Linked DNA regions of Tamandua tetradactyla. The protein of the gene in region 1 purifies or fractionates together with the protein of each later gene. This does not show direct contact. Links are inferred from orthologs where the notes say so. Each region holds a gene or a part of one and is shown on either strand. Other genes may lie near its edges.

What was found. The genes of interacting proteins can lie anywhere in the genome.
Region 2: the proteins of TGFBR1 (region 1) and SMAD7 purify together in Homo sapiens (affinity purification with western blotting; 19 studies listed by BioGRID). This does not show direct contact. The link is inferred for Tamandua tetradactyla from reciprocal best matches to the Homo sapiens genes TGFBR1 and SMAD7.

Annotation. Positions count from the first base shown.
Region 1 is NC_135328.1:16,291,540-16,298,823, reverse strand, and holds the start of TGFBR1 (TGF-beta receptor type-1), read right to left. Parts: upstream 3,015-7,284; 5' UTR 2,981-3,014; coding exon 2,896-2,980; intron 1-2,895. UniProt on the Homo sapiens protein: Transmembrane serine/threonine kinase forming with the TGF-beta type II serine/threonine kinase receptor, TGFBR2, the non-promiscuous receptor for the TGF-beta cytokines TGFB1, TGFB2 and TGFB3.
Region 2 is NC_135344.1:34,120,456-34,127,333, forward strand, and holds the start of SMAD7 (mothers against decapentaplegic homolog 7), read left to right. Parts: upstream 1-3,870; 5' UTR 3,871-4,019; coding exon 4,020-4,623; intron 4,624-5,957; coding exon 5,958-6,011; intron 6,012-6,878. UniProt on the Homo sapiens protein: Antagonist of signaling by TGF-beta (transforming growth factor) type 1 receptor superfamily members; has been shown to inhibit TGF-beta (Transforming growth factor) and activin signaling by associating with their receptors thus preventing SMAD2 access.

The DNA of each region.
Region 1 (7,284 bases):
CAATCAAAAGACACATATGGCAGAGTGGATCAATGGTTGAGCATCAGTGCTGCCTATTACAATACTAACAATACCAAATCACAAACTCTTTCTCATTTCATCTTCACAGTGTTATGAATTAGGCAAAGTACGAAATATAAATGTGGTAACCAATTGCTTTTTTCACTGGTCAACTTTCCCAGATTAAATACATGGAACTACAAACTAATACTACATAAACTGCACTCACATATAACAGTAAGAATACTAAACGCAGTAAGTACTAAAGAACAGTCAATCAAATGGAATTCATTTAATCAACAAACACTGAAGTGGAACAGAATACAAAACAGTACTAGGTTCTGAGGGCATAAAGGAAATAAAAGACATGATCCTCACCCTCTGGGTATGTAAAATATACGGAATAACAGTGCAAGAGGGTAGAAACAGACAACACCAACTGTAAGTCCTACACAGTTCAAGCAGATAAAGAATACAGGAAGTCAAAACTGAGAACCTTCCTACTCCCACTCCCGAAAAGGAGCAAAATTAAATATGCAGTGTAAAGGCTAAACAGTAAGGAGTCAGCGGGAAGACAGAAATCACTGGAACTGAGGGGCTGCTGCAGTGAGAAGTGAGACTTCTGGCTGGCGATTTGGAGATAGCCCTAACGTCAGCCTCCATCGTGTGCTCTAAGTGCTGAGCACAAACGGGAAATCTTGTAAAGCCCTTTTGGGAACGGCGGAGGAAGATGAGTTTGGAAGTAGCCCACAGAAAAGACAAGACAGAGAAAGAGTGGGAAGCAATTCAAATGTGAGGGATAATGGGCAGGACTTAGCTGATACAAAGGACTAAGGTGACCCACACAAAGAAAGAAAGATACATATTCAATAGGTATTAATATAAAGAAAACTTGCGTTTGAGGTATGTTTTCCAAGGTAAAGGGAAGAGATGGCAAAAAGGAAGCAACTAGTATTCTCCTATGGGCTATAGATGTGGACATTGTGGTACTAAACTGTGTACTAGGGACAGGGAACCAATTTTTCTAGAGAAATTCATGTTGGAGAGAGCAGAGGCTGTTTTAGAGAAATATAAAACTGATACCCAGACTATAAGGAACAATGGCAAGCTCTTGAGTAAGGCAGACAAATCATAAAAATTTTTTTTAAAAAAGCATTTGAGCTTAACTTCTTCAGCATGTACGAAAAGGTTGAGCTGAAATATCAATATAACCATTCCAGGCAGGTGGACCAGTTCAAGAAGTCTGGGCTTGGAGTCATAAGCATCTGGATTAGCTTTCTACACCGCAAACCAGTGTACTGTGCAAGCCCCTCCCGGGCATGCACTGAGCAATGCTTGCTCTGTACATTCAACGCGCCTGATGCTGCTATGTGAGCACATGAACGCTCCCCGCAGAGCTAGGTGCCAGGATAAGTGGAAAAGAGTTAACAGTGGTACGGAAATGTTATTTAAACTGGATGTGGAACTAAACTGCTTCTCTCCCCATCCAGTTATCTTGCTCCCCTCCTAACACCAATGTCAAAAATCCAGTTTCCTCGAACACACTCCCAGTGTGAAAGGAATGACAACAAAGTCAAACTGAAATGTAAATGGTGAGGCCAAAATCTCAATAATAAGGAGCAAGTGTTCATCAGATGACTGGAACAAAATAGGCTGTGCCTTTTTGGTCTATCTTTGGAAACAGAGAGTCCTGGGTGCAAATCCTTAATCTAGCCTTCTCTGTGCTTCAGTTTTCTCAGCTATAAAATAAGGCAAACGCCACTAGTCCTGAGGGTTTAGTTGTGAGGATGAGATAACGTGCTTTGGTGTACTCTGCATCCACAGCACAGTCAGCTCTTAACAGACAGTAGCTATCAGAGCTAATAATAACTGTCACCCTCGGTCTTCAATTAAGTTTTTAAATTGTCGTTTGTTTTCTTTCCTAACATTTGGTGTCATACTTTCACTGTATATTAGCTGCTAGCACTAAGCCCCTATATTTTAGTGTCCAGTATTTTAATTCTGTTGCTAATACGAAGTTTTTCACTCCTTACCGGAGTAGATGACCACCTATACCCCATCCCGATTTAGTATTTTGGGAAAGCGAGCAGGCGTTCTCCCTTGTAAACCAACTACACGGATGACTGCTGCAAACTACTGCCTGTCACCAAGGATAAGGACCATCACTAGCAAACATTCTTCTTCGAGGAAATAAAAGCATTCGCTCAATTCACAGAGTAATTCTCATTCAAGCCTTCCAAACCGCGCAGAGTGAGCAAACGTTCAAGTTTCTACAACGGAAACGATCAGCGGCCGTCTGGTCACTGGATTCGCTAAAACCTTTGCAGCCGCACCGAGAGCAGACATTCCGCGCATCCCGGGCCTGCTCCTCGCCACACAAAGCTTCGCAGCTCCGTTTCCAAAGCCACCCCCGGCTGGAGAAGCCGCCCCCCTCGGCGGGGTCGGCCCGGCTGACCCGGGGTTCGCAGCCGCACCACGCCCCCTCCCACAGCTGGAGGAGGCCCTCTGGGTTCAGAACTCGACCGCCCCACCCCGCCTCCGGGGCTCCTGTCCGACCCCGCCCCGGGCCTGGGGGCTGCGGGCATCTACCCGCGAGGAGCGAGGGTCCCGGGACCAGGACGCCGAGGGCGCCGGCGCGGCGAGGGGGTAGCCCTGCTCGGCCGGCCCGGTGGCCCCGACCCCAGGAAGGCAGCCCCGGACCCCGGACGGCGCCGCCCGCGGAGCCCGCAGCGGGGGCAGCTTCCCGCGGCCCGGCGCGTCCACCCGCCCCGGCCCAGCGCCCCGCCCTGGCCGTGGCCCGGCCCCGGCGCCGCCACCTGCGCCCCCGGCCCCGCGCCATGTTTGAGAAAGAGATGGAGCGAGCCAGAGGCCCGGCCCGCGCGCCTCGCTGCTCACCCGTCGCCCCCCGGACCAGCATCGCCGCCGCCACCAGCACGAGGAGGAGCAGCCGGGGACGCGCAGAAGCGGCCGCCGCTTCCATGGTCCCGCTGCTGCCGCCGCCGCTGCCGCCACCGCCGCCGCCTGAGGCCCGGCCCCGCCCGGCCGCCGCCGCCTTGCTACAGCCAGCAGCGCCTCGCCCCACCTCCCGCCGCCGCCGCCGCCGCGCTCGGCCTTTTGGAGTTGCTCCGGGGCCGCGCTCCCATTGGCTGCCGTGCTCCAGCCGGCCCCGCCCTCCCTGCTCTCGGCCAGCGGCGAGCGTGGCCCGGTCCGGAGCCCCGCCTACGGGCCCATGGGACACCAATCCGGAGCGACAGGCTCCAGGTCGCTGGCCACGCCCCCAGCGCTCCCTGGGTCTGGGCCGCCAGAGGGGGAGCTATGTGGGGGCCGCGTCTAGCCGGCTCCATCCTGGACTGGTGTGTCTGTGTGTGAGCCGCTCTCGGGAAAGGCCGTGCCCCTCACGACACTCATTGCTTCTAGTCCCCTGGGTAAGCGGCAGCACAGAGCTGGTCCTGACCCCGACCCCACCCGGACCTCCATTCACACCCTGCACGCCGACCCCCGACACCCCCTGCAGCCAGGCTTCAGCTCCCCCAGCCCAGTTCCACTCCTCAACTGCCGACACCATCCCATACCAAAATCCTTCTTCAGTGCCCTTCATCGGCGACTTGGTCCCACTGTTTCCTCCTGTTAGCGCTCACCCTCAATCTAGCACCGACCACCCCCCTCAAATTCCAAGCTCAGAAAGTCCCCAAATCCTGGCCTCAGACCCCTGATCCCGAACTCAGATACATTCCCAAATAGCCTCCCACCTCCCCCTGGAACAAGGAGGAGACCCAGAGACCCAGAGCTGGGCTTCAAACCACCCTCCTTCCCCCTCCCCACTTTCTGATCCAGGTTGGAAAGGGAAGCCCCCCGCTCCCCACGTTGCACCCCCAAAGAAGGAACATTCCCCTTCTCTGCACCCATCTCCCACGGGGCGGAGGGAGAGCAGTCAGGGTATCCTGAGCTGCCTCTAACACGCCTGCACGGTAATTTCGAGGTGTCACTAAAAACCCGAATCAACTCAACTACGTTTTCATTCTGAATTCCTAAATTTGCAGTGAGGCGCTCCACCCACCTTCCCACTGGGACGCCAAAATGAGCTCCAGATTTGTAATTCTTCCTGTCAGACTAGTCCTTTCTTCAGACCCAAACACAGTCAAAAGAGGCTGTTACATAGAACAGAGAACATTTTCCCGCAGAACCTTTTAAGGAGAAAATTTTATTTTCTGTGTGATTTGAGCCTGCAATTAAATAAACGTTGGTAGCAGGAATCCGCAGCAGCTTGGACGATCGATTTATAAATTACTTTAGAGCCACTCTGTGAGCCTTTCCCGGGCCTGTAAAGACTTCCTTCAGTGAGCTGCAGAGCGGGAGGGGTGGGGGTGTTGGAGCAGGATCTGGGCACTTCCCTGGCCAGGTCATTTAACCTTTCTGAGCTTTTGTGTCTCGTCCATAAATTGGAAATAATATCTACCTCCCAAGGTTACTGAGAAGATTTGATGAGATTTGGGAGTTCCCCCATCCTCCTTTAGGTGCCAGTTCTAGACCCTTCCTCCAGACCCTTCACCTGCTCCTCCACTCTAGACCACACCCCCCGGCCAGGTAAGGGACAGGTATCCTTCAAACCACCTACTCAGGCATGCAGCTGCTGCTGAGCTCCACGGCTGCCAGCAGGGGGACCAAGCCGGAGAAACAGCTTCTGGCAGCCTCCAGCCCCAGCCTGCTCCCTCAATTCCAGTTTTTTCATTGGAGACTTCATGGGTAAGTCAGGTTCTGTGACACCTGAGGTCCCTAGGCTGCCTTCTCACTGCAGTTCTTCTCAGGGTCTTCATAAGAAGAGGGCTCAAGAAATGTTTATTGTTTGAATGAGTGAATGAATGATTGACCTCAGACAAGTGACTGTTCTCTGACCCTTAGGTTCCCCATCTCTAAAATGGGGATAATAAGTTTTTTTGCGAATGGAAAGGATTGAATCACATGTCATGTGTCTCTTAAATGATGTAATGTGTCTGCAACAGCGTCTGGAACATAATAAATATTTAGTTAATGCCATTTCCTTTGCCCATCCCCTTTCCGGTTTTGTATAATTCTCATCAGGATTTTTGCTCATGTTAACCCCTGCCTTTGCTTTACAGAGCCTCAGATAGGGCATCTTCCACGACATACCTCTGATTCCTTAGTATTTCCATTGAACTGACTGAGTCCAACAGGAAAGTGAGGAGTGGGAAGGAAGAACAGGCTATTTTAAAACATGATTTTCCTGATATTAAGAAAAAAGTACCATGAGCCACAGATCCATAAATAGACTACATTAAAATGGAATAATATATTTTAGGTTAAAAGTGGCAGCTCTCAAGCTTTAAAGTGTCTCCAGATTACCCGAGGAGTTTTTAAAAATGCAGATTCCTGTATCTTGTCAATCCCCCATGCCCCCCACCCCCACCAGTCTGGGAATCTTCTTCAGTTGATCTGGAAGGAGTTCCAGGAATCTGCATATGTAAAAAGCATACCCGATGATTCTACTACAGATGGTCAGGCCACACTTTGAAAGACACTCTTTTGGAAAGTGTGACCATAAAATTCAGTAAATAAAAACAGATGAGCTTATTACACCTTTTGAGAAAGGATGGGCAGTGGAAAGGAGCCTCTGGCTTTGAGGTCTTGCAGACCTTAGTTGGAATTCTGACTGTCACTTACTAGGTGTGAGAATCGGTGCACACTACTTAATCTCTCTTTGATTTAGCATCCTCTAGTGTAAAATGGGGTGACACCTACTTACATATTTGTTGTGAGATCTAAATGCACTATTGCAATAAGGAGTCAATCATAAATGCCAACTACCTCCATAGTCTCCATACCCTCTTCAGTGGGCCTACAGGTTGTCTACACCAATGTCTTGATTTAAAGGGGGAGAAACTGAGAACCAGTCCCCCAGTAAGTCAGCTGTGTAACTAGGACTAACGAGATTCTTACTCCAGTATCTTATCCCTGCACAATGCTACCCCTCAGTCTTCATGCTGAGTACACTGTTTGCCTTTCCTTTTGCATTATTCCTTAAGATGTTTTCCCCCAAATCCAGAGCAGAGACTGCCAGTTGCCTAACCCATATCCATTCCTCCATTCTCTTTATAAGAGAACTCTGATTTCCTTTGGGAAAGCAGTTAACCTAGCTAAAAAGTCTCAATTTCCCAGGCTTCCTAGTGGCATTCTGGACAGCGAAATATAAGCAGAAGTCTACCAGAGGGTATTTTGGGGAATGATTCTCTTTTCCTCGTTAAAAAAAAAAAAAAAGACTCATTGCATTCTCACCTTCTTTCTGCCTAGAATACAGCTGCAATACCTGGAGGTGCAGCAACCACTTTGCAAATATAAGGATGGCAGTCATAGTTCGCAATGGTAGAGAATAAAGATGGAGAGATTCTGGGTCCTTGATAAGTCTCTTGAGCAACTGTACCAGCACTTAAATGCTAACCCATGGGCATCTTAATGTGTGAGAAAAATAAACTTTAAAAAAATTTTAGAATGCTGCAGTTCTATACATATGCCCATCCTAACTATTTTGTCTATTTTATTTCTGTATTATTTTTTTAACTTATATTACTGATTTATACAATTGTTAGCTCTTGATAACTGATGGTTCTCTTAACTGTATAACAAACCATCTCAAAACTTTATAGTTATCCTGAGGCTTACTCTTATGAAGCTTATGTAGATAGCGGAGAAGCTTAGCCTACCTATAGGTATGCGTAAGAGTTACTTCTGGAGGACCTCTTTTGTTGCTCAGATGTGGCCTCACTCTCTCTAAGCCCAACTCTGAAAGTGAAATCATAACCCTTCCTCCTACGTGGGACATGACATCCAGGGGTGAAGGTCTCCCTAGCGACATGGGAGATGACTCCCGGGGATGAATCCAGCCCTGGCACCGTGGGATCAACTATTCCTTCCTGACCAAATGGGGGGAAAGAATTGTAATTAGTAAAGTATCAGAGGCAGAGAGAGTTCAAATAGAGTTGAAAGGCTACTCTGGAGGTGGCTCTTACACAAGCTTCGGGTAGACCTTGCTACCTATGATAACCTGCCAACCCCCAACCAAGACTGTTCCAGCCAATCCTGAAGAACACCTAGGGCAATTTATAAGATTCCACAAGGGTTCCAGGCACTAGAGTAACTTTCCAGAAACCTAATACCTCCAGATGGTTCCCTGGACCAGATAAGTCCTGAAACCTAGAGGGCCCAGCCCCTCCAGAACATCAGATGATTCCATTTCCCTACCCCATATTAGTGACAGACCCATCCAAAATA
Region 2 (6,878 bases), on another chromosome or scaffold:
CCACAATTACACTATATGGGAACATAGCTCTGCAAGTTTATGCATGTTCCACGCAGACAAGCTGTGACGTCAGATTCAACTACAGAAACACCTACTACCGGCCCTGTGTGCACTTGGGCCACTACTCATCAGGGCCTTAGCACCACTGACCAGGTTTCCAAAAGATTCTGAAGAGTCTCTGTTTAGTCAAGACACTTAATTACAATGTACGACAGTTGCTCTCTCTGTTTATTTAAGTTCTTCCTGTCATTTTCCCACCCAGTCTAGCCCCTCTCAAAAAGCAAATATCTTCCAGGAAGGTCCAGAGGTGAGAGAGGGGATGGGACCCCAAGAGGACAGGAAACTTGCCCAGAAAGTTCTCCAACCCCAGCCAGCTGCCCTCCTCCCAGGAGATTCATTAGTAGTGCACGTTGCTTTACTTGCAGGAATCAGGTTTTCTGACTTCTGCTCTAGTCTCTTTCTAAGCCTTTCTCAGGTAAGTAGGTTAGACATTTCCCAGACAACTCAAAAATCCCATTTCTGTCTCTTCTGGTTTTAGGTGTGTATGTTGATGGGATCACCCCATGCAAAACTCCTCCTTCTCCATTTCCTCCAGGACTTTCTTGGCTGCTGTCTTTTAGAGGATGCTTTTTTAGAAAGTTTTACACACCACCCAGTTTTCAATGACCTTTTCGATAAGTAACTTTTTTTTAAGCAGAAGTATGATTTTATACAATTGCACCCTAGGAAGCCTTATAAAATAAATGTGTAGAGTGACAGCTTCTGCCACTTCCTATAGGTTTCCACACTGCTTGGCATCTGCTGTCTTCTAGGTTAGTAAGCTTCAGGCCCTCCTTGCCTGAGATGACCTTGTAACCAATGTTGCTGATCCCCTCTCACTTACGTTTCCAAAGGTGTGTTTTTGGGGAGAGGAGAAAGTGGCCCAAATGCCCCTAAAAGTCCTACCCAAGTCCTACCTAAGCGTGATTCTTAAATATTTTTTAAGCATCTATTCCACATCAGACACCTTTAAAGGTGCTGGAGGGGACTCCGGGAGCCTGCAATTATAAAGTTGTCTAAAATTAAGCTGAACCTTTTAAGAATTTATAATCTAGGTAGAGAGATGAAAATAGTACGTTTCACCTTTTCTAAAAATCACCGTTTGAGTTTCTTTGTTGTCCAGATCTCACAATTTGAAATGATGTTAAAAAAAATATGTCGTTGAATAAAATGCATGAGGTTAAATCGCCATGGCTACTGGAGGCCTTGCTGCGACTGATGTGTAGATATCTAAATCACTACGTTTCTTAGTATCATCACTCTGTGAATACATTCTGGGCTTTCACCCTAGCAATTCCTTACCCACTTCTGCGCAGAAACCTGTCTGCTAGGTGTATGCTTCTCCCAAGCCTGGGTCAGGGGATAAACTCTGACCCGAAGCATCTTGAGCACCTTGAAAGGTACAAGGCCCAGGGGGGCGCTGCAAAAGCCCGCATGCATACGCCATGCCCCAGGCAGGTCCGCTCCGAGGGTAACCTTCCCGCGCCAGGAGGTGGGGTAGCCAGGCTGCAGCATTCCCGGCCCTGGGCGAAACCTGCTGGCGGGGGGCGGGCGAGCTCCCGCTCTCTCCCTTCTCCCGCCACGACGCTGCCCCTCGCAGCTCGTCAGCCGGCCAAATGCATTCCAGAGCTGTGCACAAGACACATTTCTCCAGGCAGTCCCAGAAACCGGAGCCCGGAGCGGGAGAGGGTGGGAGGGAGCGCGCGGCCGCCGCTGAGGTCACACTCGCGCCGCCTCCCCGCCCTTGGCGGCCCGGCTGTTCCCTCCAGCACACACTTCCCAGGGCCTCGGTCCAGTTCGGTGTAAATGTCTTTTAAACGGAGGCAGCGCTCTCCTCCCCCTTCTCTCCGGCGCGGCCAAAGGGATCCACCGCCAGGGCCTTTAAAACAAAACGAATGAATGAAGGGCGAAGCTCGGCGGGCTGGGTCCACATCGAGCCACCCACCGGCTTGTTCCGCTCCAAAACTCGCCGGCGAAGCCAGCTCGGTGCTCCCGTTTTTTCGCGTTTCTCCTCCGCTCGTGCCAAATCGCAGTCGATTCTGGGAGCCTCTGCTCCCCACATTTCTCCCTCCCCCATTAGTCCCCGTTCGCAGACCAGAGAGGGGGTGGCGGTGGCGGGGGGTGGGGGGGTGAAATAGCTTTTAGAAACCCGATCTGTTGTTTGCGAAACACAATCGCTTTTTTTTTTTTAAAGCGACAGGGTGTCTAGACGGCCACGTGACGAGGCCGGAGCCGGGCGCGCCACTGCGCAGTGGAACCAGCCGAGCACAGGGCCGGGGGGGGGGGGGGGGGGGCGGGAGGCGGCGGCGGCTGGGGGCGGGGGAGGGAAGAGGGAGGGAAGGGGGCGGGGGCGGGAGGCCTAGCGGGAGGCGGCGAGCCCCGGGCACACTAGCTCTCTTCGCTCGACGCACGGAGGAGCCTGTCCCCGAGCCGCGCCAGCCGAGCCAGCCGGGCGCCGTGCTCCGTCTGCTTGCCGCGCGGGAGAGAGCTGCCCGAGACGGAGCCAGCCCGCCGGCGCCGAGCCCCTGAGCGTCCGACCTCGGAGATCCTGAGTGCGGCGCAGCGAGTCCCCAGCGGCGGCAGAAGGACCCGAGCGCCAGGAGAGGGCGGACGGGGGACAAGGAGGCTCCGGGGCGCGACGAGGAGAGCCTCGGAGGAGAAGGCGGCGAGAGGACCCCGGGGCCTCCTGCCGTCGCCGCCGGGTCGGGGCGAGCGGCCCATGCAGGGAGCCCCGGCTGGCAGCCGCTGCCAGAGGAGGGGGCGCCGGCGGCCCCCGCACTAGCGAGCAGCTTGCGCCCGGGAGGGCGAGAGCGCTCCGACCCGCCAGGAGCCCGCCGCCGCCGCGCCGCCCACCCCCGCGCTGTCAGCCCCGCGGGGCTCAGCGGCCGCCGCAGCATCTTCTGCCCCTGCGCCCCCGCCAGCCCCAAGGAAGTCCCCGCCGAGGACCCGGGCCCCGGGAGCGCAGAAGGAAAGACCAGAGACTTGCCTAAAATACCCAGATGCGGAGGATTGAAGCAACCAAGCCAAAGCTTTCTGTGGATTAAAAACATACATATATTTTCTTTCTGGGGGGAGCAGAAGAAAAGGAGAAGACCAGCGGGGCTCTGCAAGAAAAAAGGAGGGATGTAACTCGTGGATACGGTTTTCCACCCCTCAAACATCTTGTTCTACTTTGTAAATATTTTCTTTTTTTAAACCCCAGCTCCAGCCGGACGCCCCCAGACCTCCGGGGTGTGAGAAGGTTGTGTTTTCATTTTGGCTTTGCATATTTGGTTCTTAGGTTTTGAGAGAGCCTCCTTATTTCGCCAGACATCTCATGCGGGGTGAAGTCCACTCGGCCCCCTCCCCCGAGTCTTCGTGTGCACGGAATTCGAGGAGATCCGGTTACTAAGGATATAGAGGAAAAAAATAAATCGCGTGCCTGCTTTTTTTTTTTTTAATTGCCTGCTTCTCCCCACCCCCAAATTAAGTTGCTTAGCAAGGGGGAACGAGTCTTTTTCCTCTCTCCACCGGCACTGCCGAACGCCCTTCGTTTTTTGCCCCCGCGGGTCTTCCATGTAGGAAGCCGAGGCTGGCGAGCCCGACACTCGGGAGCCGCTGCGGGGGGGCGTCTTTTTGTGGCGGCGCGGAAGAGGGCAGGCTCGGCCGCCCCCAGGGGAGCGGCGGCCGCGTTTCTCCGGGGCGCGCCGGGGCCCGAGAGCCGCGCAGGGCCTGGGCCGCGCGGGGTGGGGCAGCCGGAGCGCAGGCCCCTGACCCCCGGCGGGCGCCCAGCGCACCCCGCGCGCGCCCCGGCCTCCGGGAGACTGGCGCATGCCACGGAGCGCCCCTCGGGCCGCCGCCGCTCCTGCCCGGGCCCCTGCTGCTGCTGCTGTCGCCTGCGCCTGCTGCCCCAACTCGGCGCCCGACTTCTTCATGGTGTGCGGAGGTCATGTTCGCTCCTTAGCCGGCAAACGACTTTTCTCCTCGCCTCCTCGCCCCGCATGTTCAGGACCAAACGATCTGCGCTCGTCCGGCGTCTCTGGAGGAGCCGTGCGCCCGGCGGCGAGGACGAGGAGGAGGGCGCGGGGGGAGGTGGAGGAGAGCCGCGGGGGGAAGGGGCGACGGACGGCCGGGCGCATGGGGCCGGCGGCAGCGCGGGCAGGGCTGGCTGCTGCCTGGGCAAGGCGGTCAGAGGTGCCAAAGGTCACCACCATCCCCACCCCCCAGCCTCGGGCGCCGGCGCGGCCGGGGGCGCCGAGGCGGATCTGAAGGCGCTCACGCACTCGGTGCTCAAGAAACTGAAGGAGCGGCAGCTGGAGCTGCTGCTCCAGGCGGTGGAGTCCCGCGGCGGTACCCGCACCGCGTGCCTCCTGCTGCCCGGCCGCCTGGACTGCAGGTTGGGTCCGGGGACACCCGCCGGCGCCCAGCCCGCGCAGTCGCCCTCGTCCTATTCGCTCCCCCTCCTGCTGTGCAAAGTGTTCAGGTGGCCGGATCTCAGGCATTCCTCGGAAGTCAAGAGGCTGTGTTGCTGTGAATCTTACGGGAAGATCAACCCCGAGCTGGTGTGCTGCAACCCCCATCACCTTAGCCGACTCTGCGAACTAGGTAAGAAGTTGTGCTGCCCCTACCCTCCTCACCTCCTCCGCGCCACCCACCATTGTCAACACTCCTGGGGGAAGTGTACATCCCTTCCTGGGAGGAGACTTGGGAAAAAAATGGAAAAGGGACGCGCGGGTGGAGGGGAGACTCGAGGGACATTCCCTGGGGGTTCCCTTCCAGTGTTTCTCGTCTGTTGCCCCCAAGGGGGCTGTGAGCACTGCTCTTGCACACACTGCACAGACATGCGGTTCAAAACTAGGCACCCTCATTTCCGGATCAGCCAGGGGATGCAGAGAAAAGGGAGGGGGCACGCCCCCGCCCCCCCCCCCCCGGAAAGGCGTTAGGATGTGTGGCCGAGTTGGATTTCGTCCAAGTCCTCCAAAGAAGGCTGGGAGAAGCAGGAGTTGTAAAGGATGGAAAAGCCTCCTGTCTTTTAGGAAATACGGACAGTCGCGGCAGGCACAAGTGGCTCAGATACGGCCCTGGTCGCACAGCTTTGGGGCTTTGGGGCGGGCCGAGAGGGTTAGGATGGGAGGCCGAACTTGATATCCACCTCAACTCGGCCAGCTCCAGAGTGAAAAGAAAAACGGTCCCGAGAAGTTACGTCTCCTCTACTTTTTCCTCCCAGCAGAGAAAAGCATAGAAGTGTGTGGAGAGCTGTGTGCCCCGGAGCCCCCCTGTCGTTGCTGCCCCTTAGCGCGCTGGGCCCTGAACTGGGCTTCGGGATTAAGACCCGTAGCCTGTCTCCTTTTATCTTCCCAGCCTCTTCCATCCCTTCCCTTTTCTCCAAGCCTGTGCTGGGGTGGGGGTGGGGTGAGGTGGGGTGCCCCGAGCCGGACTCTTGTAGACACCCCCGGCTCAAGTTCAACCAGGAAAGTTCGGGCCGGTAAAGGGGAACCCCGTGCCCTCCTCCGCAATCTCCCCCCTGGCGGGGGCCGAGCGGAGCGGCCGGGACCGGGATGAATCGCGCCCCTGGTGGGCAGGCCGGGGCGGGGAGCACTGAGATCGGAGTCTGGAGGCCGGGGGGTGGGGGGCTTGTCGCCCCCCGCCCGGTGAACTGTGAATTGCGCGGCCCGGGTCGAGTCGGTGGTTTCCAGCTCGGCCCGCCGAACGCGGCGGCGGCCCCGGCAGACGTGGAGGAGCGGAGCGCCGAGGCTGGCGCCAGGCGGCCTCTTTTGTTTATCTGACAGCTAAATATCAAGGCAATCACCGCCTCGCGGCCCAGCCTCCAACCCCCACAGCTAAGACAAACAGTTGGGCTTAAAGAATGCCTCTGTTATCATAAGTTTCTATCTTTCTCATGGCTCGGCCTTTATTTTCTCTTACTTTTTTAATTCCAGAGTCTCCCCCTCCTCCTTACTCCAGATACCCGATGGATTTTCTCAAACCAACTGGTGAGTAGAGGATTTTTAAAATATTCTTACTGTCTTTAGTTAAGAAGGAAGCCTCTAGAACCCAGGTTTTATTCCTAGGCCAGCGATCTGGGAAAGTGCTGGGCTTCCTTCCCAGCCTGTCGGTTTTCTCTATTGGAAGTTTGGTGGGTTTTTCCGAGTTTTTGTTGTGGCTGGATTTTTAAATTTATGGAGATGTTTCCTAGTTATGTTTATGTTCTATTCTTTTCTCATGTATTTGCCCTGCGTGGCGGAAGTTGGCTCAGCTTTAACACATGGAAGCTTTGGTCCACACAGAAATGTCTTAGGAGCCAAATAGGATAGGTTGGTGGGAAAATTCAAAGTCTTTGCTTTGTGAGTGCCAGGAGAATCCGTGGGAAGATTGGGCAAATAGAAGCAGGAGAAGGCAGTTTAAAAAGGTGCGGTGAAGACTGATTTGGAGGGAGATTTTTAGAAGATTTTAAAGACTTTTCCCCATCTCCAGTCACCTAGGAGTCAGCCTTCTCCGGCCTGGGGTTCTCTCAGAATTCTTGGTAGGGACCATAAAAGTTTTTAGCATAGCTCTGCCTGCCTGTTGCTTTGTCACCGGATGGCACCCAGCCAGGGCAGAAGCCCATTGGAGGCTGGCACCAACCTGCCAACCTGCTTGCGGTTGTCTGCATTCAACTTATGGCTGGCAGCAGGAGGGCTCACCCTATGTAGGGAACAGTGGAGTGGGAGAGGGTCAGCAAAGCTGGGACTTAGAGCTCCAGTTTCCTGGAGCTCCTTCTGACCGTGGGACATTTATTTGCTGAAAGCATGGATTATAACTTTCTTCTTTCCTTGTGCCTGTATAGTGGTGTCTGAAAAATGTAAAGCTTGTGACGTTTT